Linked DNA regions of Drosophila melanogaster. The protein of the gene in region 2 interacts with the protein of the main gene of each other region in a pairwise test. Each region holds a gene or a part of one and is shown on either strand. Other genes may lie near its edges. The genes, in order: Cftr and M7BP.

What was found.
Region 1: the proteins of M7BP (region 2) and Cftr interact in a two-hybrid assay, tested with the Drosophila melanogaster proteins (one large-scale study listed by BioGRID).

Annotation. Positions count from the first base shown.
Region 1 is NT_033777.3:24,537,602-24,554,540, forward strand, and holds the start of Cftr (CF transmembrane conductance regulator), read right to left. Parts: upstream 6,314-16,939; 5' UTR 6,099-6,313; intron 5,825-6,098; exon of another isoform or gene 5,730-5,824; intron 3,991-5,729; 5' UTR 3,942-3,990; coding exon 3,757-3,941; intron 3,651-3,756; coding exon 3,519-3,650; intron 3,467-3,518; coding exon 3,282-3,466; intron 3,217-3,281; coding exon 1,391-3,216; intron 1,328-1,390; coding exon 448-1,327; intron 383-447; coding exon 1-382. Other genes in the region: Esyt2 (extended synaptotagmin-like protein 2), read left to right, coding at 12,159-12,163, 13,728-14,211, 14,273-14,824, 14,885-15,055, 15,633-15,730, 16,755-16,803, 16,864-16,939.
Region 2 is NT_033778.4:7,620,233-7,636,773, forward strand, and holds the start of M7BP (Myosin-7a binding protein), read left to right. Parts: upstream 1-8,568; 5' UTR 8,569-8,880; intron 8,881-9,944; 5' UTR 9,945-9,959; coding exon 9,960-10,096; intron 10,097-11,262; exon of another isoform or gene 11,263-12,868; coding exon of another isoform or gene 12,869-13,180; exon of another isoform or gene 13,181-13,983; coding exon 13,984-14,082; intron 14,083-14,120; exon of another isoform or gene 14,121-14,526; coding exon 14,527-14,768; exon of another isoform or gene 14,769-14,821; coding exon 14,822-14,968; exon of another isoform or gene 14,969-14,987; intron 14,988-15,283; coding exon 15,284-15,373; intron 15,374-16,541. Other genes in the region: CG43341 (uncharacterized protein), read left to right, coding at 12,869-13,180.

The DNA.
Region 1 (16,939 bases), on a different chromosome or scaffold from region 2:
TCGATAAAAATCTCTCCCTCGATGTGAGCCAATCGGAAGAGAGCTCCAATTAGCGACGATTTCCCAGCTCCTGTACGTCCCACAATGCCAACCTTCCAGCCCGCCTCGATGGTGAGATTCAGGTTCCTAAGCACCGGCGATCCATTTGGATCATAACGACAGCTCATATTGCGGAACTCCACCTGACCGCGTGTGGGCCACTGCTGCGGTGGCGTTTTTTCGCCCAGCGCCGGCTCCTGCTCCAGTTCGGTGTATTGCAGGACGCGCTCCACGCTGGTCATTTGCTGCAAGGACTCGGCCACTTGTCGCACTCCATATTGCACCATTCCGGTTAGGATCATGGCCTGGGCAATGGCCAAGCCTACGTTGCCGCTATAAGTGGCTAAAATTAGAAAATATACCTATTAGTTTTGTTCTTTTTAATAACTTATTTCTAATAGAACTCACTTTCACTGGAGATAATGAAGCTGAAGGTGACAGAGGTAAGGAAGATGCAACTGACACAGTCCAGCCACAAGCCTAAAGTCGTATTCACTGCCATGGTCAGCTGCCACACGCTACTGTGCACATCCTGCAGCAAATCAAACTCCTTGGCCACCACATCCTGCAACTGGCGGGATCGAATGATGGCCAGACCCGTAAGGGAAGCACTGAGATGGGAAAACACCGGACTGCGGCATATGCCCTCCAATCGCTTGAGATCCTGCGAAGGTCTCAGGTACAACTTCAGGATGAGCACATCCACAACGGCTACCACCAACATGGCGGCCACCAAAACCGGATTCAGTATACCAATAACAATCAGAATTCCAAACATCACCAGAGCGATCTGTATAAAATCCATCATGGCCCGCGGCAGCAACTCATCAATGGCGCCCATATCCTTGGAGAAGCGATTCAGAATCCTTCCAGACGGAGTGGTGTCAAAGAATCTCATGGTGGCGTGCAGGATGCAGGCAAACATGCGATCGTGCAGCACCTTGGAGGCATGCATGCAAATCTTAAAGAACAGGAAGCCACGGAATGTGGTCATGATCACCACGGCGATGATCAGAGCACCGTATATGTACATGCACTCGAAGGTTGAGAAAGTGGCCTCTCCCTGCGACCTCTGATGCTCCTGCTGTGTCCAGATGTTCGCAAAGAAATCGGAACTACTGCACACCACCTGGGACATCACCATAACAAAGACCATGAAGCTGAAGCTCAGAAGAGTACTGCCCGCATGGAAGTACTCGTACCAAACGCGTGGTGAAATGCCACCAGATGCTTGGGCCTCGGCCAGATCATCCTCATCGACATTATCATCCAGTTGGGTACTGTCCAACTGAAACGGAAAATTCTTTACATAATGAAGTGCACATTAGATGTTGGGACTTTGTTAACCCACCGACTTGCTGCCATGTACCGAGCTGCTCTGTTTTCTCAACTGCTGGTACCCATCTTTTACACCATCGATGAAAGGTATGTCCTCGTCGTCACTCTCCAGTGAATTGACACTCAGCGGGGATGTTTGATTGCGACTGTTTTCCCCTTCCTCCTCCTCCTTGGGTCGCTCAAGGAGCCTAGCGAAGTCCAGATCACTGTTGATCAGCTCCTGGTAGGTGCCTTGCCTTAAAATTCTTCCTTGGTCGACAATAACAATAACGTCGGCCTCGGACAGGAAGTGCACCTGGTGGGTCACTAGAATGCGAGTCGCCTTCAGCTGAGCCAGTCGTCCTCTGGGTCCAATCACCTCATCGAAGAGATGCCTGCCCACGTGCGCATCAACAGCACTTAGCGGATCATCCATCAAGTAAATCTGTGCGGGCTTATAGACAGCTCGGGCCAAGCTGATGCGTGCTCTTTGGCCTCCGGAAAGGGATGCCCCACGCTCACCCACAAGAGTTTTGTCTCCGTTTGGCAGCTGTTGGAAATCCGTGCTAAGGGCACAACACCGTGTTACCTCCTGGTAACGCTTCCTATCAAACTCTTCACCGAAAAGGATGTTATTTCGCACCGATCCCGTAAATAACCATGGTTCCTGGGCTGCATAGGAGAGGTCACCCTGGATAAAAACGCCTCCATCGATAACGGGCAGTTCACCCAGCAGTAACTGGAGGATAGAACTCTTTCCGGCACCTACCGGTCCAATAACTGCGCACAGTTGGCCCTTCTCGATCTGCAGATTAATGCTTTGGAGCGTTTTCTGTGGCTTCTCAATATCCCAGCTGGCATTAATGTCCTTAATGGTCACTGCTCTGGAGTCTCCACCTTCCTGATCTCGCTTATGGGTAAGTCCTTGAGTGCGCTCCTCACGTCCCTCGAGCATAAGGAAGTCCTGAATCCGACGCAGAGAAACCAATGCTTCCGCTCCAAAGCTTACAGCTAGTGGATACCAAATGGCAGCCACCAGTTGCAGGATATTGTAGTAACTGGCTGCTGAGAACACAAAGTCTGCGGTTATGGTTTGGCCCATCAAAGCAGCCGCTGCCAGGGTGATGTACAAAGTGGATCGCTCCGTGAACACCATGGTGCTGAGGTAGAAGCCACGCAGGTAAGATGCATATCGGATCTGCTTGATCTCGCTACGCCGAGCTTCGGCCACCACCGCCTGGAACGGTTTTTCCCAGGCGTACATCTTTATAACCTGAATGCCCTGCACCAGCTCGTTCATAATGCCCACTCTCGCGTCCGTTCGCTCCGCAATTCTCATCCGCAGCACAGAGGTTACCTTGCTCAAGGCCGTCTGCACGGGCACCGTTTTTAGCAGCAGTCCAACTACACCCACAATTGCTGGGATGCCAATGTTCAGCCAAATCAGGTAGCACGTGAGCATCGCCTGCAATGGCATAATCCAGATCCAGTGCATGAATATGAAGCCATAGTCCAAACGATTCACATCATTCGAAAGAAGGTTGATTAGGTAACCAGCTGGCGTCTGACCAGCCGTTTTCATCGAGAGCCGTAGAGTTTTCCGGTAGATCAGCGAGCAGCAGGCTATTCGCATCCGTGCACCCATTAGGCGCTGTCGGAGATCGACGTGGTGCAACAGGAAGCAGCAGAACAGCGTCGAAAGAACCAGGACGGCGCCCAGACTGTTCATATCGTTCCACATGTGCTCGACGGTCTGATCCAAGATGCTTCGCACAGCGGTTGCATTGTGATCCACTTCCTCTACTGGAGGCTGAATCGGCTCCAGTGGACCCGCTTTGTCCAGCGATTTGGGGAAAAGTGCTGAAATATGCATGATTCATATGTATAATTTAATCAAGAATGATAATCCTTTGTTTAAAGCTCACCATCCCCTGGAGATCCACTAGAGTTGGCGACAGCCTGACTCAGCACATAGTTTGGAATTGCCCGTGCTGTTCGATTCAGGGAATCTGATATTGAAATATCATTGACATCGATATTTCTTAATTGCGCAACAGGAGTTTTTTGAAACTGAATCAACAGCTGTGCAAGAACAGCTGGAATTAAGGTCCTAGAAACAGATTAATTATGATATAATGAGTTAAATTAAACCCCCAACTCACTTGATCACTATGTAGATAAAGCAAATGAGGCCATTGATGATCGTGGGTCCTAGGAAACAGCGGAAAAGTGCGTTTCTGAGATGCGGCTTCTGTTTCTTGCGGTGAGATCGCTCTAGTTCCTTAAACCATTGACTAAAAATTGATCACAATTGACAAATGTTTAATACGACTTTGTAGCAAGTCAAACTTCCTTAGTGTTTGTTGTCAGTTAAAGAGGATGTTAGATCTCAGTACTTACTCCTCCAAACGGTCGCCCAACTGCTCGGATCGATCTTCCTTCAGACATTGTGTCAGGTCATCCGTATTAAGGCCTCTGCGGGAACCTCGATATAGTAATGGTATCGCCCAGGCAAATATTAGTTGTGAAATAATATTTGCATGCTGTCGCGGATTTTTCCGCGTTGGCTTTGCACTGCTATCCATGCTATCATATGGATGGATAGCTCTCGTCTAGATCAGAAACTCCTTCTGCCTGCAATCGCAAACAAGCCACAACTAAGCTCATGTTAAATAATCAAAGGCTTAAAGATAAAAGGCGTGATTGAACTATACTCGCCAATAACATTGGTAATATGACATGTTTTAATTAAGTGCAGGAAGTGCAGATTACAATTTAATTTAGAAATTGATTAAAAATTTAAAAAAAAAATATATAATATCTATGACTTTCAAATAACCAATGTATACTGTATCGCCCGCATTCTTTATCATGTTTGTATGTAGTATAAAACTAGTTGATTGCTAGAAGACTAGTCTAGGAAGAGCTACTTTCTTATCAGCAAAGACCTTGACCAATAAAGAGTAGTCTAAAGCAAAAGTACTACTGTCTATATAACTATATCTTACTAACTACTATATGAAAATATGTAACTGGAGGAAAAACACATACGTTCCTGATATTTTCAATAGACGACCATAAACTATAGTCTTTTCGTGACTGATAAGGTCTACGTGTGACTAGAAACGAAGTTAGTTTTAAAATTGTTAGTTAGTTTTAGTAGACAACCCCTATTTAGATAAATTTTATGAACTAACTGCGATTGTATGAAGAATCCCAGGATGCGTGGATTGAACTTTGCTCAGCATAGACTTACGAGGGTCAGTCACACGATATCGGTCGTTAGCTTAATGTCTATGATTGCTATTTGCTTTGTCTGTAACTGATAGCAGGCGACACGGGGAACGTAAATCAAAACGCATTTGGAGCCCCCCAACTCGATACTTGCTCATCTTTGTATGACAATAATCATAATGTTTATTAATTGGCAAGCAAAAGTCCAGAGACCTTCCCAGATAAGCTATACCGGTGTTTGGACACGTACATATGTACATATTTCTTTTTATAACCACGGATGTTTTTGGCGTTGAGGCTATAAGCCAGGCGAAATTATTTTGACCTACTTGCTACAAGCGGAAATTTCACTTTTCAAATTATAACTTTTCGATTAAACTTCACATGTTTGTAGTTGTAGTGGAGTTGTTGACCGGGAAATTTTCATGCTGCTCAGTTGCTCATTGTGAAATAGCATTAAAGCACTCACAAAGTTCAGTTCCAACGCCATTTCAATGCCGCTCCCCTTTTCAAAGTAATAGATTTAAATTGTATGGGCGCAAGCCCATACGACGCCAATGAATTTACGTAAATAGATAGAAAAACGTGCTGTACATCTTCCCATTTCGATTAAAACAATTAAGACTACTTAAACCCAATGTTTTCGGTTTTTCAAAGTTTACCCACTATAGCCGATTTTCATATCAGCTAGAAAAGGCGGTGATTTTTATTAGCCCCGCTATCTTTGCTATGACTTAGAATTAAGTATTGCAATTATTTCAGCGACATGCGGAATTTTAATGCTGTTTCAATTGTTTAGAACGAGTTTTGTAAGCAACAACTGTGACAACCAATTCAGCGCTTTAGGTTTCATAAATATTTCCAACGAAATCTAATTTATGAACGCGCTCAATAAACACAGACAGGCGCATAACGAACAGATTGTAAACCAGTGATTAATTTATTTTTACCGGTATCGGCAAGTCTGTTACAGTGAAACATTAAATGGTGGGACTCGGTCGGTTAGTAATTATGATTTCAGGCGGAAAAACGTATCGAATTTTTAAGGGCTTTGAAATTTATCTAATCAATTGGAATATATTTCTTTGTTAATAAAATATGATAATCCATGTTATTGAAGTCCTACTGTATATATTTACATGTGTATATATGTAAGAGCACTGGGCCAATCGGTAAGCGACCTCACGGGCAAACAAGTGGTTGTTTGCTAGAAAACCGGCATTCCAATCGCTTTCAGTGCCGCCTTACACATTGGAAAGTATTCCGTAATGGTAGGAACTAATTTTAATAACGGTTTATGACGTAAACGCGGAGGAGAATTACAGCAGACGCAGACATAACAGCACATTGAGCACCCAGGCGACCATCGAAAACAAAGAGCCAAAAGCGCACACAATCATGCAAATCGGATGTACACATGTACATACATACGACACTTATTACGCGAATGTACTGACTTCCAAATTTAACAATTCACCGTTAGATTTAATCACTCGAATTACACTTACTTGTGCTATCAGAGCATAAATTGGTTCACACTACTGTGCTCTATTATTATTATTGTATCACCCGAATTGGTCGCAACGGAGCAGCACGTGCAGAAATAGTACGAACACAAGCACAAAACGCCGACTCACGCACACTCGCACAAACGGACCAACGAATGCGCAACCGTGTGCTCCATAAACGACCTCCTCCTTCAAAAGTTCGGGACCGAATGAAATACAAAACAAACAAGCTTATGGCTACAGTCAATAGAGATGGTAAGCTTTCGATAGCGAACGCAACAAGTTCCCCGTGATTTTTAAGTAGTTTACAATACTACCATTTAGTACATATATTTTTGTCTAATTTTTTAAACATTTCAGATATTAGTCAATTTGAGTTACAATTGGAATTGCAATCTCATTCTCATATGATAGAACATGTGCTCAATCCATTTTTTGTCCAATTGGACATAATTTCTCATATTTTGTCACTTCCATTTTTACGAAATTTTACGCGGTCTTGCTTTCCTCTCTTTTTTGGGAGAGAACAAAAGCTTCTGAAATGTAAAAAACAATAAAGCTTTCAATATGAAATGTATAATTATGTTAAATATAAATTGTTGAGCAAATCATTTGATTCTGAATACATTTGATTTGATTTTTTTGTATATAATTTAAACATGAAACATTATGTAATGGTAACCTAAATATTTAATGAAATTATGTATATAATTATAAATTATATACATATATAATGTCAGTTATAAGGACTTATTAATACAGCTGCACAACATTTTATGTCCTTAGCCACATACCCCCCCAAAACCCCCTCTCAATTTGTGTAAACACGCACCGCAACAGTTGTTCTATTTTGGCGCCAAAAATAGCTGAGAACGTAAACAACAAAGCTCGCTCTTTCACTCAATTGCGCTCTTGAAAACCTTGTTACAGGATGTAGGTCAAACACTGCGTATGAGTGATATTGCGAAGGCAATAGAATTTCGCTTTCAGTTAGCGCACTTTCAGTTGTGCGACTCGCGTACAACGGAACGCTCAGCACGGTTAATGTGAAAAGTCCAGCGGATGGTTTTCCAAAAGCCTGCGGAGGAAATTTGCGCGCGACTTTTCCGAATCAATACAGAAACTTGTGTGCCGGGCAGCTGAAAAAAGCGTAATAAAAGAAAGGAAACATTACTACAAAGGGGCCGCACAATTGAATTTTATTTTTGGTAACCCATTGACATTGTTTGCAAAAAGGACCAGTGACTCTAAAACTGGGCAAAGGCTTAGTGGAAAATGAGACCACTGTAAATGTCCTTTGACAACTATGAACTCTTTAATTTTTTTGCCGTTCAAGTGAAGAAAGTTAAACATAAGTAAACCGTCCTAAGGTAAGCTATCAAATAAGGGCAAGCTTAAAATCATTCACAGCCATTAGCAAAATGTAAGTTTTGCTAGTTTATGGTTTTTTTTTGTGTGTAACATTAAAAATGCAAAAGTCCTAAGTGGCGACTGCCCCAAGTTCACCTGCGAAAAGGTTTGGCGCTCTTATCGCTACTCTAGAGACGCTCCCATTGGTTTCATTCAACTTGGAGCATGTAAATTACACATACGCAGCGTTGGCCAAAGGAAACTTCCACAAAAAAAAAAAAAAAACAAGTACAAAACGCAGTGTGTCAAGTGACAGAAAGAGCTGTCAGAGAAGAAGGGTTGACTTTGGTAGGCATTTGAAATATTTATGAAAGCCAGCGCGTTTCCATGAAGCCTTCAACTGTTATTATTTTGTTTTTTTTTTTTGCTGCTCCACTGTTGTTGCTGTTGTTTATCCTTTCACTTTTCGGTGGCAGGCTTTCGCACTCGACATCAAGGGTAATTAAAATGTGGACACATTAAGGCGTCTCCGGTCCTGTGGTTGTGGTTAGTCACAAACACACTGACACTCAGATATCCTTGCAGCTGGTGACGACGAGTCAGGCGAGGGAAAAAGTTTAGGATTTGCGCTTGGGTTAAGTTGTTCCCCCCAAAGTGGAACGCTTTATATGCACTGGGGAATGGAACTGGCTGAAATTCCCTCGGAATTCTCGTGCCCGTATAATTAAACAAATATTTTAATTAGACAGATAGATTAACACTCCGTGCTCAGACTAAATGTGTGATCCACATACCAGCAGGAAGTGGCTTAAAATGCAAGGATAGTTTGAAAGTTTTTACAGTGAAATTCAGGCAGGTGGTTTTAAAGATTTAAGTATTACAATTGAACAATACAATCGCACTATAAAACGTGTGAAACTCTTCGTTTTATGAGCCATGAATTCCAAATCCTTAAACGGAAGTTGTATATTCGAAACTAGTTTCCCACTGCTGGGTTTTTCTCAAACAATCCTTGACATTGTATCCTTTGAACCGACCAAGCCCCATTAATAATCGGCCGCCTTTTTGGTTGCCATTGTTTTTTTCTTTTTATTGCCGCAATCAACGATTTCCGTGCGTGTTTCTTCACTTTGGTATGGGAATCGAGGACTGTCGGCATTTCGGGCCAACAGCCAGTTCACAAAAAATAGAAACAAACTTGTGTATAATTCATAGGGCAAAAGGCATTCATTCACATCGTACTTAGTTAGATACCCATTTGCGGTCAGTCCGGCGACCGATATTAAAGCCCAATAATGGATTCGGATTACGGAGCAAAAACACAAAGTCTGAAACACGCCTCGAATGGAGAATAATTTAATGGGTTGGCGAAACTTTCATTTGCAGTCCGCCTGTTTGCCCGGCTCCCATGTCAGTTATTTTATATGTTTCCCTGAGGCCGCTTTACGTTAACATCATCTGCATATAACAACTTGGCTAAATCTCTCTTTTTGGCTAACCACACGTAGTCAAAAGGAAAAAGTTTGACATGCCTGGCGAGAAAGGAACGCTTTAAGAAGGATCCTCCCCAAAAACATTTACCTGAGCCATGATGAAATGGCTAAAACGTGTTCGCCCGAGTTCCACACGAGTGATTAGAATGTTTACTCGAAATTCATGGAAAAAGCACTGCATAAAATTCAACAATGTTGAAGCAAGTTTAAATTGCTTGTTTTCTGATTGAATTGCCAGCTGTGGAGCCTTGAATCAGCATTGGCTGTAATTCGATTCTGACCTCCTTTAATGTTTCCCTTAAATGTATCTAAGAGATTTGTACTGCAATCAATGCTGCTTCCGTTGCACTTATAAAAATCAGAGTTAATTTATGAAAAAATAATTCATGAGCATATCATATAATTAAATACTGTTTAATGTGATATACCCAAATAATCTTGATCATACAATAAATTTCTGTAAAAAAAAACACAAATGTTTATATAATATTTTCACTGTGTCTCAGTGTCTGCTTGACCTGCTGCACACCATCAACGTTACCTTCAGTGGACCAGGTCTCCCAGGTTTCCATCGTTTTGCTCGACTGGCGTCGCTCCATAAATCAAAGTCGATGTGACGCAATTTTCTTGCAAATTCAAAACAGTACAAAAAGTAGAATATTCCCAATTGTTTACATTGTTCGTTCAATAAAGTCAAGGCGTCGACATCGTGCGACCTCGATTATCGCCCGGGAATTGTCTCAGTTTAGTTTTGAATTAAGTTTTATGGCACGTTGGCGGTGCGAAAGTTTTACGGCCAGCCACCCCCCCCCCCCGCCGTCACGCCCCCATTCCCGAAAAGTAGGTTCAAAGTTGAAAAACCTCGAAGGAACTCACATGAGTTAGAGGCAAATCAGAGAAGGTCGAATAAAATATTTAGGGGCAATTAAATGGCAGCCACATGTTGGTGTGTGTGTGTTATGTTACTTCATTTAAAAGGATACAGGATGAGAGTGTGTGTGTATATTCTCGAAATTTCCCTCAGGCTTCATTGTGTCATTAATCGGGAATATGAGAATACGTATGTTTGTTTCACCGGAAAGGAGCAACTAACATCCGCTTGATTACCAAATACACAGAGGATAAATCGGACAACTAAATAAAAACCAATCAAATAATAATAAAGTTAAAACATTTGCTTGAATATTATGTGATTATCACATATAAAATAATGTTGTGCACAAAACATCAATAGGATATTTTTAGATCCTTTAAATCATATAATGCGACCCTGGGCTATTTTAATCGCAGGAAATTTGCGGAATTTCGCTTATATATTTTCTTAGTGTGTGCGGACGCAGGGATTCACATCCGACATCCGCTGACTCCATTTGCCTGCCAGCTGCCATTGTCCTTCGGCGGAGTTCTTCTGCTCTCCTGCATGTCCTGCAGCCAGACAATGTGTGCAACGGTGTGCGTGCATGGGTGGCTATGGACAAGTGTGGGTGTTGAGTGTTGAAGGCCATGTTCAAGTACGCTCTACCTACCGGACACACTTTGTTTGCTTTTGATTTTGCGCTTTTTTCGTGCGGCAGCACCAACTCAATTCGCTCACGCCCATTGTTTAACTTTCGATTTCACATCGATGCATTAAAAATGCATATGGCATGATTATTACACATACGCCATGTGTTACGCAGCCATTTGATATTTATGAAAAACAGAGCGGAATCGAGCAACAAGGCGGCAAGCAAACAAACCAAAAAAAAAACCAAAAAAAATGCCGCTTAATCCTTATTCATGGCTGCTCACTTAACCGGGTTTATTACGCCCGTGTGCGTCATCCGGCAGTGGCTCTCAAACTGTTTTGCTAATTACCCAACAACACAGCGTAGATTTTATCTCATTTACAAGTGAGTCGGGCAGCAAAAAAAATTAGCAGGCGACTAACAACAACAATTACCACTTGACCCAGGACGAAGGACAATCAATTCGATTACACTGGTCAACCAATGAGTGGAAAACCGATCATCAAACACAAATGATTACATAAAATTACGTAGGTAATACCTATTTTAGTAAATATGAACATTGGCATGCAAATCATATTACTTTCTATAATTTGTATACCTAAAATTTAAACATTTTCTAACATAAATCATAATGAATCCTTGCACTTCTTGCCAATCGAATTACGCATGCATGCAGCTTAAGTTTTCTCTGATTGCGGCTGTACAGAAGCACTAAGCTCTTCATTAATATTCAGATTAATAGTCGCACAAAGAGGTCCTTTTGTGTGCGCAACCTTGCTGTACAGTGCCTCCGTCCAGGACACAGCGAATGGGAAACCATGGCGCCAAGGATCCCGCAGTGCTGCTGGTGCTTCTGTTGGCTGCTGCGGCAATGTAGCTTCCACTCAAATAGGCGAGCTTTGACTCAAAGTCGAGAGATTCTTCTAGTGGCTGGGGCTACGAGAATTGAATTCAATTCAATTTAGTTCCGAAACGCCGCTCACAATGAAAAGACGCTGAATTCGCTCCGTTTATTACAGCATTTCGAAAATTAAATATACTGAAGTGAAGTAATCAGGTCTATTACGAATTCGTTCCGTTCTCTCGGTGCGTATAATCAGTTTATTTCCCGTTTTTCTACAATGTGTAATCGAAATTCGTTTTTTTTTTTTTTTAAAACTCATTTGTTTACTGCAAAATATAGAACTTGATAAAAATATACAAAAAAAAAAAACATTCGCGGCGTCCTCAGCTATATATTCGCCCCTCAATATATATATGTATAAATACGTATTTAGTTGGCTTTCCGTTCGGTGTGGTTTTTGTGTGTGTAAATATTTAATGAAAGGAATTTTAGCTCCGACCAGCTATCTAAATATGTACAAAGAAATGCATAATTTTTCAATTAATTGCAAAGGCTAAAAATGTTCTATTCGAAGTGTTTACGTTATGAAAACCAGTACAGAAATGCAGAAAGAGAAAGATTTCTATTTATAGAAAAGCCAAAATCGGAAACTTTTGATATGAAATATGATTAAATGCAAGCGTACAGGGTTTAAAAACCCACAAACTCGACTTGAATCTATTTTAATTTATGCATAAAACCATCTTGATGGCTGCACATTTAATTGATAACGAAATCTTTATTTCAGATGCACACAAAGTTTTTCCAAACCGAAAAATCATAAAAAACAAACACAACACCAAGTGAGAGCAGAACCCAAACGATGAGGTGATGCCACAATTAATTTATTTATTTATCATTTATTTAAGCACATTTACACGACACAAGCGACATACTCACTCGCTACTCACTCAAGTATTCCAAACATTCACAAGCCACGACTACGTCATCGCCAAGAAACCTGAAGAGCAACCAAAAAAATAACAAAAACTGAGTTTGAGCAAAACAAAAAAATAAAAATAAAAAAAACAATAAAACCGTGTTCGGTTCAAGTTCTTGGCAATGGGAAGTAGTCTCCCCATCATCATTTTCGAAGGCAGACAAGCTTTGGCAGCCAGTCTAGAATTAAGTCCCTCTCTCGTATTCGGTTTTCGGGTTTCACTCTTCGCTCTACATATATTTACCTCATTGGGATGCCCCATTTTGGGGGGCAGAAGGCTGCCTGGTGGCTGGCTATTCAACAGGTGCCCATCAGCTCAGAACGAGATGTAACAATTCCCCAGCAGTTAAAGTTGAATTAGCAAAGCTCGTAACCGGAGAGGGTGTCCCTCTCTCCCCTTTTCGGAGCAGGAAAATCCTACCTCCCCATTTGGTCACTCCAAGAATCGGGCTTAGTGAACATTTTCTGGGCGCCTTTGTTGTTAGCAGCTAACAAAGCGTTGAAAAGCGTGAAATGCTGAAATGCTGAAATGCTGAGGTTGTAAATCTCTTGAAAAGTTTGGTTTTGTACGATTACTCAAGTCAAGGTTGCACATGAAAATTGTATGACCTGCAAAAAGAAAATTACGGCTATATTATAATGAGTCCCCAAAGCTAACGCATGAAAAAGAATGAAAGGTAAACAATGAGATATATTCTGGGAAATTTGAATAAAGTCAACAGCTGCTGCTAAGCGTTGAATAATTAAGGCAGACGCGAAAATAAAAGAAAAGTTTGGGTGGAAAACGTGAAACAAACAGTCGGAAAACTGTGGAAAGTTCAGGAGAGAGAGAATATAATATCAAGAGTTATTTACTTATTTACAAAGAAACTATTAAATGCTTTCAAATTAATTTCGCTTAAAAAATGGGACAAATATAGAGCTTACCATAAAAAAAACGAAAGGAAATAAGTTTTCTTTTTCAAAGTTTAAATGGGTAACTCAATACCTTTATACCTTTTCCTTTGTGATAAGCAAACTTGCCAACAAAGTTGGTCTTCCCTCGTCCGAAATGAAAGCTATTTTGTGTATCCCACTCAACAGGTAACGCGGTGGGTGGTTGAGCACCATCAGAAAAGTCGTAAAACTGTGTCAATTTACCCCACCCACATGGCGTATGAGCAATGCGAGAGTGTATTGAAGAAGTGAAAAATTAAGCTAAGTAAACAAACGAAGTGTTCATAAACGTTTTGTATACTATAATTATGAATCGTGGATAGTCGGTGAGGCATTTCAAGATCACATTTCTAGCTAATAGCACAATATAGTATGACATCATCGCAATCATGAGCATTGAGTTCGATGCCGGCATCTTAGCCGGCAAACGCTAATGAGTCAGCTGCCCAGAGAGCTTTAGTATCGGAAATATCTGGACAAGATGCTCATGGAATGTGTACATTTGAATTCTTGCAGCGATAACAGTCCATCGGTGCCCTTGGCGGAGTTCACCATCCCACCCGATCCCACGGAGACCGAACCTTTTGTGCCACTGGTGGAGGTTAAAAAAATGAACGAATCCCCAGTGGTAACGCCGACCACGCCCACCGGCAATGGTACACCGCCCACGCAGACGACAAATGGAAACTCAATTGTGGCCACAAAATCCGTAAGCGATGATAACAGCATTTTCTCCGTGTTCTACACGCTGGGCAAGAAGGTGGCCATTGTGGGATCCATTTATCTGGTGGGTTACATGGGCTGGTCGGTGGCCTGGTTGATAGCGCCGGTCATCCTCTCGGTGGCACGCGACCAGTTGGCCAAGACGTCGGAGAAGAAGCGCGACATTGCCAAGGCCTCGGCTTTGGCGTCCGAGAAGGACGTAATCCTGGCCAGAATCGACGAGCTGCCCGCGTGGGTCTACTTTCCCGATGTGGAGCGCTGCGAGTGGTTGAATAAGGTGAGTGGGATTTGGTTTCAGTTACCATATGAATGAATCCTATCTGTTATCCTTTTGCCAGATCTTGAAACAAGTGTGGCCCAATGCCAATCACTTTGCACGCACCTTGGTAAAGGAAACCATCGAACCCAATGTGGCTTTAGCTCTGGCCAACTACAAGATGCATGGCTTTCGGTTCGATCGCATTATTCTGGGCACCATTCCACCGCGGATCGGCGGTGTGAAGATCTACGATAAGAACGTGGATCGCAACGAGATCATTATGGATCTGGATCTGTTTTATGCCAGCGATTGCGACATCAATTTCTATTTGGGTGGTATGAAGGGTGGCATCAAGGATTTTCAGATCCATGGCTGGGTGCGAGTGGTGATGAAGCCACTGATCCGATCGATGCCACTGGTGGGCGGTCTGCAGATCTTCTTCCTGAACAATCCGAATATCGATTTCAATTTGGTGGGTGTGATTGATTTTATGGACATGCCGGGTCTGAGTGACTTGCTGCGTAGGATCATCGTGGAGCAGATTGGCAATGTGATGGTGTTGCCAAACAAACTGCCCATTTCACTCAGCGAAGAGGTTTCGGCGGTGGCCCTCAAGATGCCCGAACCAGAGGTGGGTCCACAATGACTATTAATATCAATCTTTTTTTTATATATGGATGGCAATTTTCAGGGCATCCTGCGCATTCACGTGGTCGAGGCCAAGGATCTGATGAAGAAGGACATCAGTGTGCTGGGCAAAGGCAAGTCGGATCCCTATGCCATCATCAATGTGGGCGCCCAGGAGTTCAAGACCCAGATCATTGATAACAATGTGAATCCCAAGTGGGACTATTGGTGTGAGGTACGTATTCCTTGGCTGATTCCTGCGGGGATTCCCCGCCGTGGGATCCCCTGCGCTTCTTGCCTTGCTTTTTGTAGTCTGCCGATGTTGTCGATTGATTGCTGCATGAAACAATCCAACACAAAAAAAAACCACCGATTTATTGCATAATAGTTCGTTGTTTTGCCCTTGTGTTATTTTCCATTTTGATTTTTCATTCCTTTATCATCACTCGATTACTTTGTTTGGCGCCTGAACGCAGGCTACTGTTTTTATTGAAATGGGTCAATTTGTCGAGATTCAATTGAAGGACTCGGACGATTCCAAGAAAGACGAGAACCTGGGCAGGTAAGCAATATTATCATTTCACTTTTTGTTGAGTTAACACAACACCACCAACACACTCCACCCCAAAAATCCTTCTTGAAAATCCCCAGTGAGTAATCCTTGTTGAGAGCTCGTTTTTGCATGAAGTGACTGAGAAGTGACTGACTATATATCCTTGAGTTTCGTTTCGTTCCGTTTCGCTTTGCTCTATGGATTTGCCTACTTTCTCTGCCACCGCAGGAAACACACTCACACACTTTCGTTTTTCTAGGCGTGTATTTTTACCACCATTGGTCACTATATTGGGTTTTCTTTGTGGGACTATGATCAGACTATGCCAGGTGTACAGAGCGATGATGTATTGGGCAGGTTGTATTGCCGCATGAAACTGCATTTGTTTGTTCTATCTTCGTTTTTTTTTTTGTATCTCTTGATTTTCATTTATCTTCTGAATACGTTTACTAACAAGCACAAAAAAAAATAAAAAAAAAACGTACACAGCGAAGTGATGAGAAATTGGCCAATTGAAGTGGTTTTCGTGACCCCAATAGTTTGATTAAACAAATAGCATTTGAATTGTGTTTACTTATTGTTTCACATAACCTAATGTTTGAATTATGTTAACAATCATCAATTAGTTTGATTGGTATTTTAGTATCATTTAAACTGTAGTTACCATTTGAGTTTATTATACTATGCTGAAGTAAATTTGATTAATAAGAAAATCTCAACACTTTCGCCATGCCGACCTAACATGACTCGATTCAAAACTAATCTGCATGCCCTTTTGACACATGTTTTTGAATCACAAGCAAAAGCTGGAGCACTTTGTACCACAGACACACAATGAATGAAACCAGAATCACCGGCATGCCAATGACAAATATTTTGTACAAGTAGTTAGATTCGATCCTGTAAATAATCCACCCACATTTGGACCGTAGTTTGTGTAGACTTTGCGCTGGAACTAACCAATAATAATGCGAAAAATGTCTTTTAACTTGCTTTTGATTCGAACGATGAATGGAGCAGGCTGTGGTCGAGGTCTCGCAGCATGCCATACTCGTGCTCAGACTTTTTGACTGGGACCGTACTAGTGATGACGAGTCGCTCGGCAGGTTAGGCAACCATCTATTTGATTGATTGATCGATTAATTGATTGAACACCAACGAACTCATCCACAAGAACATACAAGAAAAACGGACACACACTTGCCCCAATAACTTAACCCAACAAGAACTCAGAACGAGATGCCCTCAAATAGCTTGAATTTCAAGGGAACCCGTTGAGAAGTTGTCATTTTCTTGTTCTTGTTATTTTCTTTTTTTTTTTCTTTTGATTTAAAATCATATTTGCCGTGAACTAATTTAACTTTTTAACTACCCAAAATAGAGCCAGCATCGATATTGCCAGCGTGATCAAGAAAGGCGTTGTGGATAGTGTAAGTAATTAGAACTCTCGCATTTACACGTATGAAAATAATATGTTTCATAATATATAGTGGCTCACCTTGGAAGATGCCAAGCATGGACTTCTGCATGTCCGCCTGCAATGGTACAAACTCACTGCCGATCCCA
Region 2 (16,541 bases):
GCACCACCACACACCACTCATCATCACTCACAACTCGCAATTACAGCAATTTCTTTTAATTGCAATCAAATGAGACGAAAACGCTTGTCGCATTACTTACCCTTTGCCAGTTCACCTTTCTCCGCGCTTTTCACTCTACCTTGGCAGGATGCAGGATATAGCCGGATATCTTCGGTTGGCGCGCCAAAATGAGTTTAAGTCGTTCAGCTGCAATTGTGCGTTTGCGTTTGTGATTGCGTTTGTGTTTGCGTTAGTGAATGGGACAGAAGGCGAAACGGAATTAATTTATTAGAAGGGGTTGGGTACAACTGGTACAATTCACGGCACTGTCAACCCACTTTCGCCTCGAGCTAAACTTGGAACCACACGTACTTGGGCACTTTTGAATGTTTGCTCTGCACTGCAAAAGTTGCTGCTGCTGCCTCGGCCTTTGCTTCTCTAAGGACCAACACACTGGGGAGGAATCGCTGAACAGGACTACTGGAATCCTATTGCCTCGGTCCCTTTTATACGCCATGCGCTTGCGATCCACTCGCAGCAATCAGCTGGCGCGGATGCTGTGGATGCTGGTGGCTCTCCGAGATTCTCATTGCGCAGGTACAAACAAGAAGCGGTTGCAGGCAACTGACCGCGGCATAATTAATATTTAGTGGTAATTTCGGTAACTAATGGAATTAGGTTTTCAATAATAAGCCCTCCTTTAATCAGGGTAAACACCAGCTGCCGCCTGAAAGTCTGCAACGTTTTCCTTCTGCAGTTGCTGCTGAATTAGGGTGGACCTTGTTCAGGAGCGGGAAGTTCAGCCAGCCACTTGTTGCTGTTCCAAAGTTTGCGAGTCAGATTTGAAGTAAAGTTTACTAAGCTTTTACAGAATCATACGAATTTATTAGTATGCACTTTTGCTGATTATTTCGAGTAGTTGGTAAAGTGTGTATGAATATTTTATTTATTTTAAATGATTCCTTTACTATTACCTTACCTTACTATTACATTACTACAATATAAAATGTCAAGAATCTGAAGTTACGAATTCGTAGCCATTAACCTCCTCTAATTTTTTAGCCAATTTTATTTAGTGAAAACTAAAATTGTATTTATCGTCGTATCCATTCTCTAGACCCACTTCTCAGGGCTGAAACTTTAGAAATTTGCATAAATCATAAAATTAGCTGCCACTTTTGATTGATGCAAACGAATTAATCAACATGGCCGTGGTCAACGAAAGTGACTGAAGAAATGCTTTCACCGATCGAAGCGCCGGCGAATTTAATTGGCCACTGAATAAACTTCTTTGACATGGCAGATCGGTAACGCATTTGGACCATAAACAAACGAATCCATGAGATACAAACAACGGAATGCGAGGTGCCGAACTTTTTATTCACTCACTCATTCACCCATTCGCGCATTCATTGATGATTATCTTAACGGTTAACAGAGGCTCTGCGCATTTTATCACCCGGGATGATGGCGAGGAATTTTGATGTGAATGTTGAGCAGAACGGAAAGTCATCTGGTAATGCTCCATGCTGTTCCCCTTCCTGTCCTCGCTGGCCTATCAATGGGAGAACTAAACAAGTGCGAAAAATGAGGAAAATAAACGGCTTGTACAAAACGCTGAAGGTAAGACTTGCAGGTTTATTGTTGTTATACACTGAAAAATAAATCTGATATATCCATTGGCATAGCGGTGGTGTATTGTCACACCCTGGGATGTCCACTTACGGAGTCCGTCCGGAACCGTTTTTCCAGTGCACCGCATGTTGTTTCTCCATCTCAGGTGAGTGTGTCAGGTGCAATGGGCTGCTTTGGATGGCATGCTGGCTTAGTACGAGTGTCGGCGAAAAGCACATAAAGCGAAAAGAAAACGCAGTCGAAAATAAACTCAGCAAAACCCGACTTTGCCATGTATCAAATGTCTTTCAAAGGTAGTTAAACGCTTCCTACTCCACGCAGAGCCAAGTACCGCGTAGAGTACCTAGTTGGGTCAGAGTGAGGCAATAAACATAAACCAGGCCCAGCCTTCCGCCTCTTTCGCACTCCAAAGACCCCGAGGTAGGGTACCATCCAAACCGACTGGCCGGCCCATAAAGTATTTATAGCTGTCGCTGTCCATCGCTACTTTCGCGCGACTTCCTTCTAACTGAACTTGTGTAACCGAATCTTCAGTGGCCAGTCCCGGTCTCCAGTCTCAGTCCTCAGTCTCGGCCTCCTCTGTCTTCTGCCTCTTTCTCCGGCTGTCACTCCCTCTCTTTCGCGCTATCTCCCACCTTCAATCGCTTCCCTATGCATACAAATGAACGTTTTAGCACACGTCGCGCTAAGTGGAAAAGTTTGAGCAAGCAAAAAGGCTGACAGGAAGAAAGAATCAAAGAGCTGGAAATCAGAAGACAAAACAAATGGGAAGAAAGCAGACAGGAAAAAGTTAAGTACTTGGGAGAACAATTCCAAGCAATGCAAATGATTATCTCATATAAGCAGGGAAATATATTACTGAGCTTTATAATGAGTATATTAGTATAAAGTAGAATTATTATTAAGATTTCAGATTTAATTTTTAAATAAAATATTTATTTAACACTTATAAAATTAGGTACTAGGTTATGAGTGCTATTCCAAAAGAAATCACATCTAGTTAGTCTAAAGATTGGAACCGTGTAACTCCAGAAAGGGTTAACTGTGCACTTTCCATGCCCTAGACTAAACCGTAGGCCCTAGTCGAACTTGAAATCGTAACCCGTTTACCAACCCCTCCCGAAAACAAGTTCTACCCCAAAAACCGAATGCGAAATGTGGAAGACGACGACAACTGGCGAGGAGTGCAGAACAAAAGTTTGCCGCTAAATTTTCGTGACAGCTGTTGAGCAGCAAGAATACAGAGAGCGGCGAGAGAGATATTGCCAGTGCGAGTACGAGTACGAGAGAACCGACAACAAACGGTAAAGCTGAAGCAGCGCAACTTCGGCAAGCCAGACTCAGACTCGCGGCTCAAAGCGTGCGGCTCTCCGCTCATTCGCGTTTCAACCTTCTGCACAAACGGAGTGACGCTCGAAATCGAGGAGTACGTGAACTGGCCATAGGCTATGTGGTGTACGATCTTACGAAAGTCGGCGATAAACTCAAACTCCGAACCCCCGCTCCCCGATCTCCGATCAGCGAACCCCGAATCACGAACCTCGAACCTACAATCACAAATTACGAACCTCGAACCGTTGAAGCGGGACCTCGAAGGGCAGCCCTTTGAGCCTTGTCTAAAAAACGAAACATTCAGTGCGATTAAGTTGGTAGAGGGGCCCTGCACTCCTGCCACACTAAACAAACTATATATATGTATATGCAGATATTCGTGTGTACATAATGGGTCACTGGAGCGTGCGATATGCCCAAAGTGACAGCAGCAACAACTACGGCGACTAAACGTGCGACTCATGCGCAAAGCAACTGACAGAAACACAAAGGCGACAATAACGAAAAACGGAAAGAACCAACGGCAATGGGGGGACCAAAGGGGTGACCAGGTGACCGGGTGCACAGGTGAACAGGTGTCAATGTCAGCCGAAAACTAAAGCAAGGCTGCTGCTACAGTGCGAGTTCCAAAAGGGGAACCAATTAGGTGCACACTACATTAAACAACTAGCTGTTTTAAAATAGCGAGCTGAATCATTTCAGCTTAGACCTCAACTGGAGGTCTAAGGATATGTGTAACTTAAAAAATAATGTGCAATGTAATGATTAAGCAAAATTGAAGCTTAGATAAAAATGTTAATCAGTGCAGAATTCGTGAGCAATTGCTAAAACTGTTATTCTTTATCAACAACTTACTGAGTGGACGATTGTACTAAGAAAACAAAATAAATGACGCAGATAATTACTCACTAAATGAACTTAAGTAAAGAAGTAAATGAGCTTATAATGAACAAATGGTGAAGTGAACCTATGGAATATCTATAATTAATATATGTGAAGTGTACCCTCCACTTTCTAGTATGCATGTGGCTATGGACAGACTCGAACGTTCACTTAAATATGCAGTTCGCTCTCTCGATTGACCACTGTAGTTAGCGTGCACTTGGCTCGAACCCTGTGCAACCCCCGATTGTGAGGAATGGCCACAGGTTGCACTTCCGTTGCCATTGATTTTCTGCGTGTGTGCTTCAATATGTTTGTTCGTTATTTTCTAGTTAGCCACGGCTGTGAAAACAACTTTTACAAACAAAAAAAAAAAAAAAAAAAATTAAATAACAGACATTTCACCCGTAAATTGAAAACGAACAAAAGTGAGCAAGTAACAGAGGGAAAAATGAGAAAACTGAGATAACCAAAACCAATCGGACAGCATCGGTTAACAGTATTAACCAGCGACTGGCGGCGTCTCACTGCCAACTTCCGTTCATTTAAGCAGATTGTTGTTGCAGCCCCCAGGGGCAAGAGGCACCCCCCGTTGGAGGGGGGGGGGGGTGGTGTGTGTGGTGGCAGCAGCTCAGTTCACCACAAAAAGAAACTCCACAAAACGCATCATTGGCGTGGAATTGCTTTGACTAATTTCCCAATGAATCGGCAGTTGCGGTTGCGCCCTGTGGCTCCAATATATGTATGTATATATGTACATATATATGGGTCCATGTGTGGGGCATGGCTATTAAAGTTGACCGGGAAGAGAGTGTGAAACCGTTAGTAAGCGCTACTCTGACTGCGGGTCACCCGCTCCTCACCCGCAGCTTGATAAATAGTTTCCCTTCAAATATTTGCAAATGTGCACTGAGGGAAAATAGTGTCCGACTTGGTCCACTTTCGTCCCAAATACCAGTGAAGATGGCTTAATTTACTGTCGTCTCATAGAAATCAATTGATGCCACAAAGGTCTTACTCATGAAAATCTTTGAGGCTTAACAGTACACTTATACTATACTTATACTTATACTTACTTGCCTTGAATTTATATATGCAGCACTTTTATGTCAATGGGAAAGTTAACACATTTTTTTCCCTCTGTACAAATGAGCTGTCATAATTAATTGAGCCATCATCAGGCCAGCGAAGCTTGAGCACAGCCTTCTAGCCAGTTCTCCGGATGGAGTTGACCCATTTGCCGGCGACCCAATTGCATCTGAAATTGTTGTCTAATTAATCATCAGATTAGTTAGTGTAACAACTTAATTCGACATGCCATGCGAATGCCGCAAACAATTGTGTGAAAATTGCACAAATCCAACTTGCAGATACAAAAACAGGCACACCAGATACATACATACATATGTCTATGTATATGTGCAGGTAAATCTGATGCATATTGGGTAACACACTTGAAATGGAAATCAATTTCAGTTGACCAACCTCAACGAAAATGATATGCAAAACGCCGGATTTAGTTTTGGTATGCATGCAAATGCACTTTTAATTGCCGCATTGTTTGGGGAACTGCATATCATGCTGTTGCACAGCCTAGCCTATCTTTCGAATCCGCAGCAAATCCCATTCGGAGAATTTCCACACATCCAGCCGGGTTTCACTCGAAACTCCAAAGAAATGACTTTGGCGGCCCGCAGGCCACCACTTTTTGTTTCCCTTGTCCGAAACCATCAACAATCGCTGAGCACTGAAAATGAACAACGAACAGTCTGGAAACCGAACAACAAGTGCGTTGCTGCTCCGGCCATCCATCTATCCATCTATCCACGTATCTGTCCATCCATAGATACTTCGGCAGACGTACTGTCAGCGTTTCAAGTCTGCCATTTAGTTGGCCAAGAGCAGAAATGCTGCCTGCTGGCCGAGAATTTCTCTTTTTCCAATTTGTGCTGTGTGCGCATTTCGGTTTCGGCCAGTTTCGCTTGCCTTTAGATTTGCCAAATAGTTTTTGGGAGCCTGGGGCCTTCGGCTTTTTCCAAGATGAGCCGCTGAGCCACTTAACCCAATGCCAGCCAAATGGGTTAACCCGCCCCGAATCGATGCGAATCGCAGCACTCTGCGTAATTACGTGCCAGAAATTAGCATATTTGGGCGTGCGAACTGCGGCTATAAGTGCACATTTCACTTTGGGTGCAGCAACACACTGAGATACAAATGTATCTCATGAATATCATGAAGTGGAAGGTGACAGACCAACGCGGATATTTGGGGGGAGCTTTTTGAGATGCGTAGCGATGAGGCATCGCCAGATTCCAGGTTATCTGCAGCTGGGCGGGGGTTCGTTATCTGCCGTCGCATTTGTTTATGGGTCTCTGCCGTAAAAATAAACCAAAATTCCTTTGATTGCAGAACGAAAGCAAACGCTCCCAGGCACACACATACACACACGCACACCATACCAGCAGCAGTACCAGCACCCCGTAGGGGAAGTCTTGAATTTGTGTATCGCGCCGGCTGATAAGCTGCTCCGTAAGCGACTTTTATTTTCGGTGGCCCAAGTGGAGGCAGTGCGGCAGTGCTCGCTTCCAGTAACAAAACAATGCTCGTAACTGGCGCGTAATTAACACACAAAAACGCGCTAAACAAAAAAAACAAACAAACCAAAAGCAGCAGTGAGGCGAATTTGTTTGCCAAAAGTGTTTCTTTCATGTGCGTGAATGGAAAACAGTGCCTGCATGAGACACTGAGTGCGGAAATGGAAATGGCCTAGGGCCGCTCCCGATTCACAAGCAACCGACATACACACACACCACACACCGCCCAGCGGCGACAGCAGCAGCAACATGGCAGGTGAAGTGCCAGCAGAAACATCGCCAGTAGGATGCAACACCAGCAACAGCCAGGGGAGCAGTCCCCATCCCGATCCCATCCAGCAACAGCAGCTGAACTCCAGCGTGGACAGCGGAATTGCGGTGCTCGAGGCGGAGTCGCCGACCTTGAGGAGGCGCCAGCGACTGCACCAGTGCCAACGGATCCTCCAGGTGTTGCAGCGGGATCAACTCACCCACCAGCAGCTGCGCGATAGATTAAGGTGAGTGCCAGATTTTCAATCTTCTGAAGCATTCATTCGATCCAATTTAATATCAGAGGGCATATACATATATATTTATTTCCATCATTCAATTCGATGTTTTCAATTTGATTGACAACAACTTGAAGCTGTGGAAGTTGGACTGTGCCATGTGGCCAGAACGGAAGCCACAGGCAGCTGGGGGATTGGCCTGAGCCGACTTGGGTGCGCATGGAGCCCACAATCTTACGGCAAACTGCTCTGGGTGTATGCATCTGCATTTCGCAGACTGCAGGCGGATATCAATTTATGCAAATTTGCCGGCCTCAAAATGGAAATGACAAAATCTCGGGTGCAGTTAGTCAGTTAGTCAGTCACTCAGCCATGTCATTCGTACAGCCAGAAATCTTTCCGTGAGCAGTCGGAGTCTTCTGGGAACTCTTTTTTAGACAATTGTCATGGAGAAACCCGCTGCCTCTGACCACCGAGCTTTCGAATGAGTTTGCAATTTGGTTGGGAAACTGTGGCGGGGAAGTTCCATTAGAATGATAATGAGGACCAACCCAGTTCGGCGATTGTAATTGGAAAACCTCTTTGAACTATATTGTTGTCTGTTTTCAGTGTGAGGAAAGATACACTTTATAGTTGGATAATTATGCTACATAAACTTATATAACTATGTTATTGATAGAGAAACAAGTTGGAGTCTCTTCATTGTTTTTTTTTTATAATATTTCAGGATAGAGTTTTATAGAATTATAAATACGAATAGAGCATTCCGGAATCGACTGGTTAGATTGTGGAGCACCCAAATGTATGGCCCATTCCATGATAATTTCGTTTTCCACACGAGCTTCGATGCCCGAGGAGCGGAGTGGCAATCTTATCGAATGTTTCATAATTAAGTTGATTAATGGCAATTAATTGCCGTAAGCTTTGCATGCCCAATGGCAGGGCCAATCGATTTCGTAGGTTTTTCTTTTGGCCACAAACTCTTGCCACCATCCTCCAAGCGGCGGACATGTGACTGGCAGCTGCCAAGTGGCATATGCAATTGCATTTGCATAAGGTCCGTTGGACAACGTGGAATGCCAGAGAATAGTGGACGGGGTGGGTGGGTCATAAGTGTCCATATTTCTGCGGCTCAATGGGGATTTACCCGCCAACACCCACCCACCCCCACCCCCTCAGTTGCATGGCCAACAAAGCTCTGACCCAGTGCGCCAATAAGGGCCAGTTCCAATTTGGTTACTCGCCCGCAACGCACACAAATCCTAAAAAAAAACCACAAAAAATTTAAAAAAAAATTTAAAACCCTGGAAACATTTGGCCGTAGATTCAACACAATTGGAAAGAGTGTACACCCGTTTGTGACCTCACACCCGAAATAGTCTTGACACTTATCTGCGACTTTTTCGTCGCATACCGAGATATATATATTTATATATCTCTGGACGCGAGCGGAACTCTTATCAAATCAACGGTCGGTCGGTCGGTCGGTCGGTCGGCTATATACGCGATCCGCCATAACGAAGTGGGCAAACAAAATCCAATATAATGCCCATATACCCCAGTTATATATTGTGCAAAAAAGTAAACAAAACCGAATTCAACTTGGCTAAAACAAACCTGTCGCCGCTCCACTCGCAGTCGGAGTCAGCTGCTCCAATCGCCAAGTTAACTTAACTTGAAGATCGTTGGCACGGGGGGCCCTTATCCACGTGATCCTAATCAGTTTGTTGTATGTTTTGTTTCAATTTGTGCGTCATGCAGTCGGGATTGTTAACGCTGTCGACGGTTTGGGCTTTTTGAAGATGGAGCAAGGTGATCGGCGGGCGGGCGATGGCAATTAGCGGACTGAGTTCGTGTGGCAAGCACCTGAGAAACATATTGCCCGAAAAGTGATTGATAATCGTCGTTCGTAACTGCAAACAGAAATAACAAGACAAGCGAAATTTGTGGTAATTATTTATTCAGATATTTCGCCAGTGAAGTTCATTTCGGTTCAGTGGGAAGATTCCACTCCCAAAATATTACAAAAAAACCAAACAAATTTATAAATAAAACCCACATCTTTAATGCCAACTGAAGTGAATAGCACGATAATTAAAATACATCATTCTTAGAACCACACACACACACAACTGATGCTATAATTTTTGTAAATAAAAAAATGCAAAACCAAAGGAGATTATGCAACTGCCAACTTCTATAGAAGATCTCGATGAAAAAAAGCAAAAATGTCGATAGGAGCTTTGCAAAAAAACACATACAGACATTTATCAAGTTTAATTAGTGCTAATCGCAATGTGCAAAAATAAACACAAAGGAAAACACTTAGGCAATTAAATTAACGTATAAATAACTGCTAGTACGTGATTCGAACTGCAGACAAAGTTTTTTCTAAACTTCTCTCAAGTGATTGCATCTAAACTACGAGATTTGCATACTTAAATGAATAATGTTCTTTAAGTGATTTATGACAACAATTTCATTTATCCTTCTTTGCATTATGCTGAAAATTATTTATCACTAATGGTCACGACTTCAAATGTGACCAATTGCACTGAGTTGTACCTAAAAATATTTATTTACGTGATATTTTCGCTGGGAACTAATTGTATTACTGGTTTACCAATTTTCTATTCAACTTAATAACCGAAACTTAAATGCCCTGCTCAGGGTATATTTACCCATACAACTTCATGTCGAAATCTAGGCAATTTAAATCGAACAAACAAAACTTTTGATAAGGCTAAGGCCAAAGTATGTATTGGCCGAAAACCACGTAAAATGTCCACAAAGAGATGATAGCCGCAAATGAAGAATGTTCGGCTCTGATAAGTAGTAAAAAATAGTTTGGTGTAGTATTGTTCCGGATATTTCATTGATTCAGTATAGTTAGGGTTTTCAATCGAGGTGGAATTAAATCAGAGCTGCTTCCGATAAGTGTGTGTGTGCGTGTGCTTCTGATGCAAATGCCGCGAAATCGATAGCGTAATTGAATTCAATGCGAACTCCGCAGTGCCTGAAGCGCTGGATGCGCCCCTACATCTGCCTCATGGAGCTGCCAATCAACCGACCTGGAAGCGGGAACCTGCTGCTGGGACTCACCTCCGTGGTGGGTCTCATTGGAGGCGCCTATCTGCTGCAGTGTGGCGCCCAGCAGCTCTTGGGGTGAGTTAATCAAATGGGAGATAAATCAAAATATAGCATCCGATGGATACAAGTTCGACTACGTGAGCTAAGCTCCGCATCCGCACGTGCACTTTGTATGCTGCAGATACAAATGCAGCGCGAGATAAATCCGAATAGAAACTGAAACTAAACTTTCTTGACTGCAACTTCAACCCGGTTACGTGGCCATCGTTTCGCATGAGTTGATTGCGTTTGCGTGTGGGAAATGGCCGAGCTGAAGAGATTTGACATAATTGTTGCCATTTCTCCAGTCGCCGTTTTCCACCAGCTACCATTTGCCATTTGTTACTTGCCCCGTCGACCGGGATGGCGATGCAACTGCTCACTTTGGGCATCGAGTGCGTAGCGTCGCCTTAATTAAGGATTGCGCAATCTCCGCCACCTGCCTCCAATTTATGCAGCACCTGTTGTGTCTCGGCGATGGCCTGCCGGTCCGTTAGACGTTTCATAACATTGCCAGTCCAGACCCAGACGAGCTGTCATTGACTCTTCGCGAATCCGTCCACAAGAACGATAGAACCTCGAAGAATGGCCAGCGGAAGTCGTTGGCCAACAAAGGGCACAACTTTCCACCGCCCACCCGCCGCCAGCTGCTTTTTCCTTAAAAAGCGTCACAAATTGGCAATAACAATTGGCCATGGCTAACAACGCCCCTCAATTGTTGGCCTTTCGTCACCTTTTCAATGGCATCTTAATTAGCCGCTTTGTTGACAGCATTATTTGTATTATTATAGCGACGGCAGTTACACATCATTTTTCAGTGTATTAGGGTAATATGCGTATCGAAACTATAAGGCTCTGAGTAATGCATATCTTTGAGGCACAATTTCTTTATATATTTAAGCAAGGAAAAGATTAAAAACATAAACAGAATAATAAAGTTTATATGAGTACCATTTTCTACATACGAGCTTTCAGTTCGCTTATAATTCACTTATTAATTTCCGGGTCTTAAAGACGACATTTTATGAACGACATTCTATGAAGCCAAACGAGTTGTGGAACTGTGGAAAGTCAGCCAAATGCAATTAACTCTGGCCGATGGCAGAGTTTAGATATGCACAGAAATTCTGGGTTTTATTCGCCATTAAAGTGAGAAGAAACCAGTTATCTTGGCCTTGTGGCAAGTGAAAAGCCGCAAAACGAAATATTTTTAGTGCTTTCAAAACCAATTGTGAGAACAATAACAAGTTGTGGAAAATGTTTAAACTAATGCGATATTATTTACTTACTATTGAGCAGTATTGTTTTCGAGTTTGCTTATGGTTAAGGCTGTTGAAAATCGTTTTCTACGTAATAAAGCATGCTTTTAGGCATATGAGTTTTATTTGAATTTAAATAAATTTAAGATTTGGCCAGGTGAATTAAGATATTCAAGATAATTCATGAATCCATTTAGATACGGTCAATGATGATCTCACGAAAGCCGGATAGTAAACTCGGAGATAATCAAAAGATTATTACACTCATATCAATAAAACAATTTACGATGCCACTTGCTCGCTTCTACCAAGAATTTATTAATCTCCGGCTCGAAGTTCTGGGAAATTCTGTAGATTATGCTATCAGAGGAGCATTTGTGAAAGCTTCTGGCCCTGTTGGGATATTAATAACCTGACACAACCTGATGGCTTGACGCTTTCTTGTGCGGGAATATGCTAATGGCGGACACATGAGACTCACATACATACATCATACATATATTAACCCAGATTCCCAGCACAGATTTCTAGGGAATCTCGAAATCTTAAGGCATGAGATCGCAGCTCGAAAAGTTCCCCGGGCTTTATGCCGATGAAAGTGTAGCGGCAACACCGTGGCGCCATTTGTTGCCAAAATAGTGATTAAAACTCGAATCCAGCTAGAAGTCGATTGATTAGTTAATAAACCGCTCACAGCATGCATACATTATATACATAGTATTTTGCCAGACAAGAACCAAGCCAACTCGTTTGCGGAATGTTTCTCACAATTAGCATTTGGAAATTAATGAAGTTCAGGCCAAAAATAAATTAGTCGACAAATGAATGCAGCAGACAGGCGATGATGCTCGATGATCTTCGACCACGTATGTATATCTCCTCCAAAACGGTTCCTGTTCGACCAGGTTTCCAGCTCTTGGATCAGATCGGATTGGATCTGATCGGACCACAGTGATCGGAGAAGAAAGGCGATAAATCTGCATGGAAATGTGCGCAGTCATTGCTTCCAATCCGCCACATACACATGTCGACCCGTCCGACGGGATCGTGGGCAGGGGGACTCCAACTTACGTCATTGACGAGTTTGTTTAGCGCTAGAGAGAGAGAGAGAGAGGCAGTGGTTTCCCGCTCTCCACGATCGAAACCGGCATGGGATACGGCTGTGGCTGTGCCAGTGTGGTTCTGTGGAGAGGCCACAGCTCCATAGCTCTGGCTATGTGGAGCCATAGAGACCCGATCTCAGCTGTTGACCGCCGACTCTCAAAGCCAACTGCGCATAACAAAGGCGAACCTTGTGCGAGAAAGTTGTCAGTGTCGTGGGACGCGGATCGCGATTTGATAGCGAATTGGCATTAAGTGCTTCCATTGGCGAAATCGGTTCAACGCGAGTGCCATGCCAAATCCCAGCAAGCCCACCGGCGCTAATCAGTCGACAAACATTTTGAATACCTGAAAACCCGATCCCGACACCTGGAGAACAGCCCCCCACACCACACCACACGGCAGAGAATCCACTACAGATCCAGCTGTCGATCGAGTTCCAGGGAGAATGCTCTTCTCCGCGGTGGTGTTGTGCCAGGTGGAGCGGCTGATGTGCCTGCCCATCAGCTTCGCGGTGCTGGGCTTCCTCTTCATGGCCTGCACCATGGAAGTGGTGCTGCTCAAGTTGACCAGCACTGATCCGGTGCTCGGACCGCCCGCCGAGGATTGGGAGGAGAACGGGGGCCCGGATGGGGAGGAGCAGATCTACTATGAGAATCTGGAGAACAACTATGAGTACTGGGCGCGCAGGAGGATGCGATTCCATCGACAGCGACAGCAGCAACAGCACCAACAGCAGCAGCAGCATCTGCCCACATAGAAGACTTAGGCTAGAATATAAGTGTATATTTTTAATTAGATCGGTTTTAAGCGGCTATACTGACTGAGCATCTCTCCTACACACCTTGTGTTTTCAATCGCTTTCGACAGCCTGTGCAAGTTATTTGAATCTTTCGCAAGCGTAATGTTTTCGATGACCGTATACGGTTGGCTTTTTCCTTAAATTATATTTGTTTGTTTGTAAGCGAAATTGCGAATTTTGCCATTTGAATAAGTTGAGCAGCAATCCGCTTGGCGATTTCTCATTTCGAGCACGTACAAGACACCCAGGAATTCCCTTCTTCTCTCTTGTGTAAGAACTGTAAGTGACTGACATAATCCGAATGCATATCGAGGCAGACAGACGCACTGCCTCTTAGATTGTAAGTTGTTTGTGATAGAGCTACATGTATGTATACTTTAAGCCAGGCCATTTCGCCTAAGTTGATTAAACTCGGTTCGAAGCCTCATTGCCTTTTTGTTTGCCTGGTCCAACGGGTTTGCGTTGTTATGCAATTGGCGGGATTTAACAGCCGGGAGAAAGTCAATTGCCCCATGCAATTGCGTTTGGGTGGGGACTGCCCACTATTTAGTTGCCGGGGGAAGTGGTGGTCGTCGGTCCAAAAGCCAGAAGTAGCACGATCAATGGCTACCGACTAATTGAGCTGAGTTTCAGCCAATGACCTTCTGGCCGTTGAATAACCCCAGCTAATCGCCAGAAACGACCTGACTAATCGTCTTGTTTCCATCACCATCCAACATTCTCGAAATAACGCGCGCTTCCTTCCGCCTTGTCTCTTCCAGCAAACTAGCCAATAAGAAGTGGAGGAAGGAGGAGTCCAGCAGCGAGGATCACGCCTGCAACGTCTGCTGTGCGGACCTGGATCTGAGCAGTGCCAAAAAGTGAGTAGAATTCGTGTCTCCGAAATATTGCGAAATACCTGTTTGACATTGTTGATCTTACTGATATCAGCATTTCTGCCGAAATCTATTCGTTTGTTTGAACAACAGTCTGGCTTCTTGATAGCCATATAATAAATAATTCGAACAAACACATTTGCAAAGTATAATTTGCAAAAGAATTGGTTGCTTTCTCCTGCATCGGTTGAGGTATTTACTGCTCTGTTCACCGAACTAAAAAGAAACCAAATTTATTTATGCAAACAAGTATAGTTAAATTTAAATAACTTTTTTTACGAGAGATTCCACGAGAACTAAAACCTTCCATTCTAAATAATAAATTTCCATAAATGGCTCTAAGCTCATAAATAAATATCTCTTTAAGTGACCTGGAAAGGTACTGGCGAATATATTATACAATTAATGATCTGGGAAAACCTTTTGCAGCTACGTGACATGTTGCACCTGCGAAAAATCGGTTTGCCGCGGGCCTAAATGCGCCGACTGGCGGCCCAAGGACGCCAAGTGGGAGTGCCAGCTGTGCCAGAGCTCCAAGGAGTCGCTGGCCCACACCTCCTCGTGGGTGGCCGAGCAAATGTCCTTCAACCAGCATAAGTTTGTCTATCCGATGAGGGCTAGGAGCGAGGTGTATATACCGATTGTGGGCGATGGCAACGACAGCAGCATGCGTAAGTGCGGTTCAGGGAAAGGAGTACTTGGAATATCTAGTCTATACTTGCAGAATTCGAGAGCGTTAGCCAGATTGGACAAAACGCCCACATGGACGAACGGGCCAAGATCCGCGAGTACGTCGAGGAGATTGTGGCCGAAATGCTGGGCGGCAATTTGGACCACGTCAAAGTGGGGCAGCTGTCCAAGAGTGAGAACTGTAAGTACCCAGATTGCCTGAGATTCGATTAGAGCGAATGCAATTTATGCAATTTGTGCAAATCAAATTCAATTGGCACGGCAACATTTTTTGAAATCTTGCTACACATTTATGTTGCCAAGGGCTTAGCAACATTTGTTGCGGGCTGACAACCGATAACTCAAAGCATACTTTTAGGCAAGCTTTCAGGTGAGAGCTTGCTGAAAAGACTTTCTGTCTGCTGTTTGTTTTGTTTGCTCATTAACCGATATTTGCACCCCTATTTGACACACACACACACATCACACATCACACACACTACACACATGCAATCAGACTTGCAACTCTTTGATAAATTCCATGCGAAGCTGAGTAACCTGCTTATCAATGTGGAAAACAGTTTGTGCGCGCGTGCGCTCAGGGGAGGTAAGTAATCGGTAATCGATAATCACTAATCGATCGAGCACGCACGCTGTAATCGTCTGTTTTGTACGCTAACCCTTCTAACATCGATTACTATTTGTTGTAGGCAGTATTTTCAAAACTGTGTTTGAATTTAAGCTTCCTGTTTACTTATTAATATAGGAACATATATATCTTTTATTATATCAATGGTCGATATTCTATTTCCAACAATATAATATTTGAAAAACTAATTATTATCAAGTTTTTTACATAAGGTTAAGTTGGGAGCATTCAAAATATTTTTTAAATAATGCTTTTTAGGACACAATTCTTTAAATATATCATTGATTTATTTGATAAAATAAAAAAAGTATTAGTAATGATTAAAAATTGCTTTTACCAACTTTGACCTCGACCATTTATACAATTTTGAGCTAAGACATATCTTAAATATAAAATCTATTAAATATACACCTTTTTCAGTAACGAAGTACTAAGTATTTAACTCATCATGTAGTTTTTGTTTAAAAAAGAGTATATATATTAATCGTAACCAAGTAATGTGTATTTCTTGCCCTTGATAAAAACTGCTGTTTGTATGTTGAGGCACTCCACCAAAGACCCTAAAACAAATCTATGAATCAATGATTGCGGCTGTAGTAAAGCTATCTCCTATCAGTGGGTCATAACCAAGGAGTCCAATTAAAATGGCAAAATCAACAACCTGCAGCGCTCTCGCTCCTTGCAGTCTCTGCCTCTCTTTTCAACTCACTGAAATCGCGGTCAATGGTGGTTGATAAGAAGCGGCAAAGAGTCAGTTTGTCGGTGATAAGGCCTTAAAGCTTTGATAAGGTTTTTTTAGCTATTGAAGTGCCGATGACAGCGAGAGCATTATGATACAGCGCCTGCCAGGTACTTTTTCGAGTGCTGCGCTGCCCATTGTCCCAGCCTCAGCTCAGATGACAGACAGCGATAGGCATTAATCATACGCACCGTTGGCGGCTGTTGCTCACCAACAGGTTTGGTGATTGGAAAATTGGCGTAAATGTCTTACTTACAAGACCACTCAAGATGCTGTGTCTGAACAGTCGATTGATTTGGTCACGCTCCCAGCTTAGTTCGGCGATTTGGGCGATTTGGGCGGCAAAACGCCTGTAAATTGGTAAATTGCAAAGCCAAACTGCGCCCC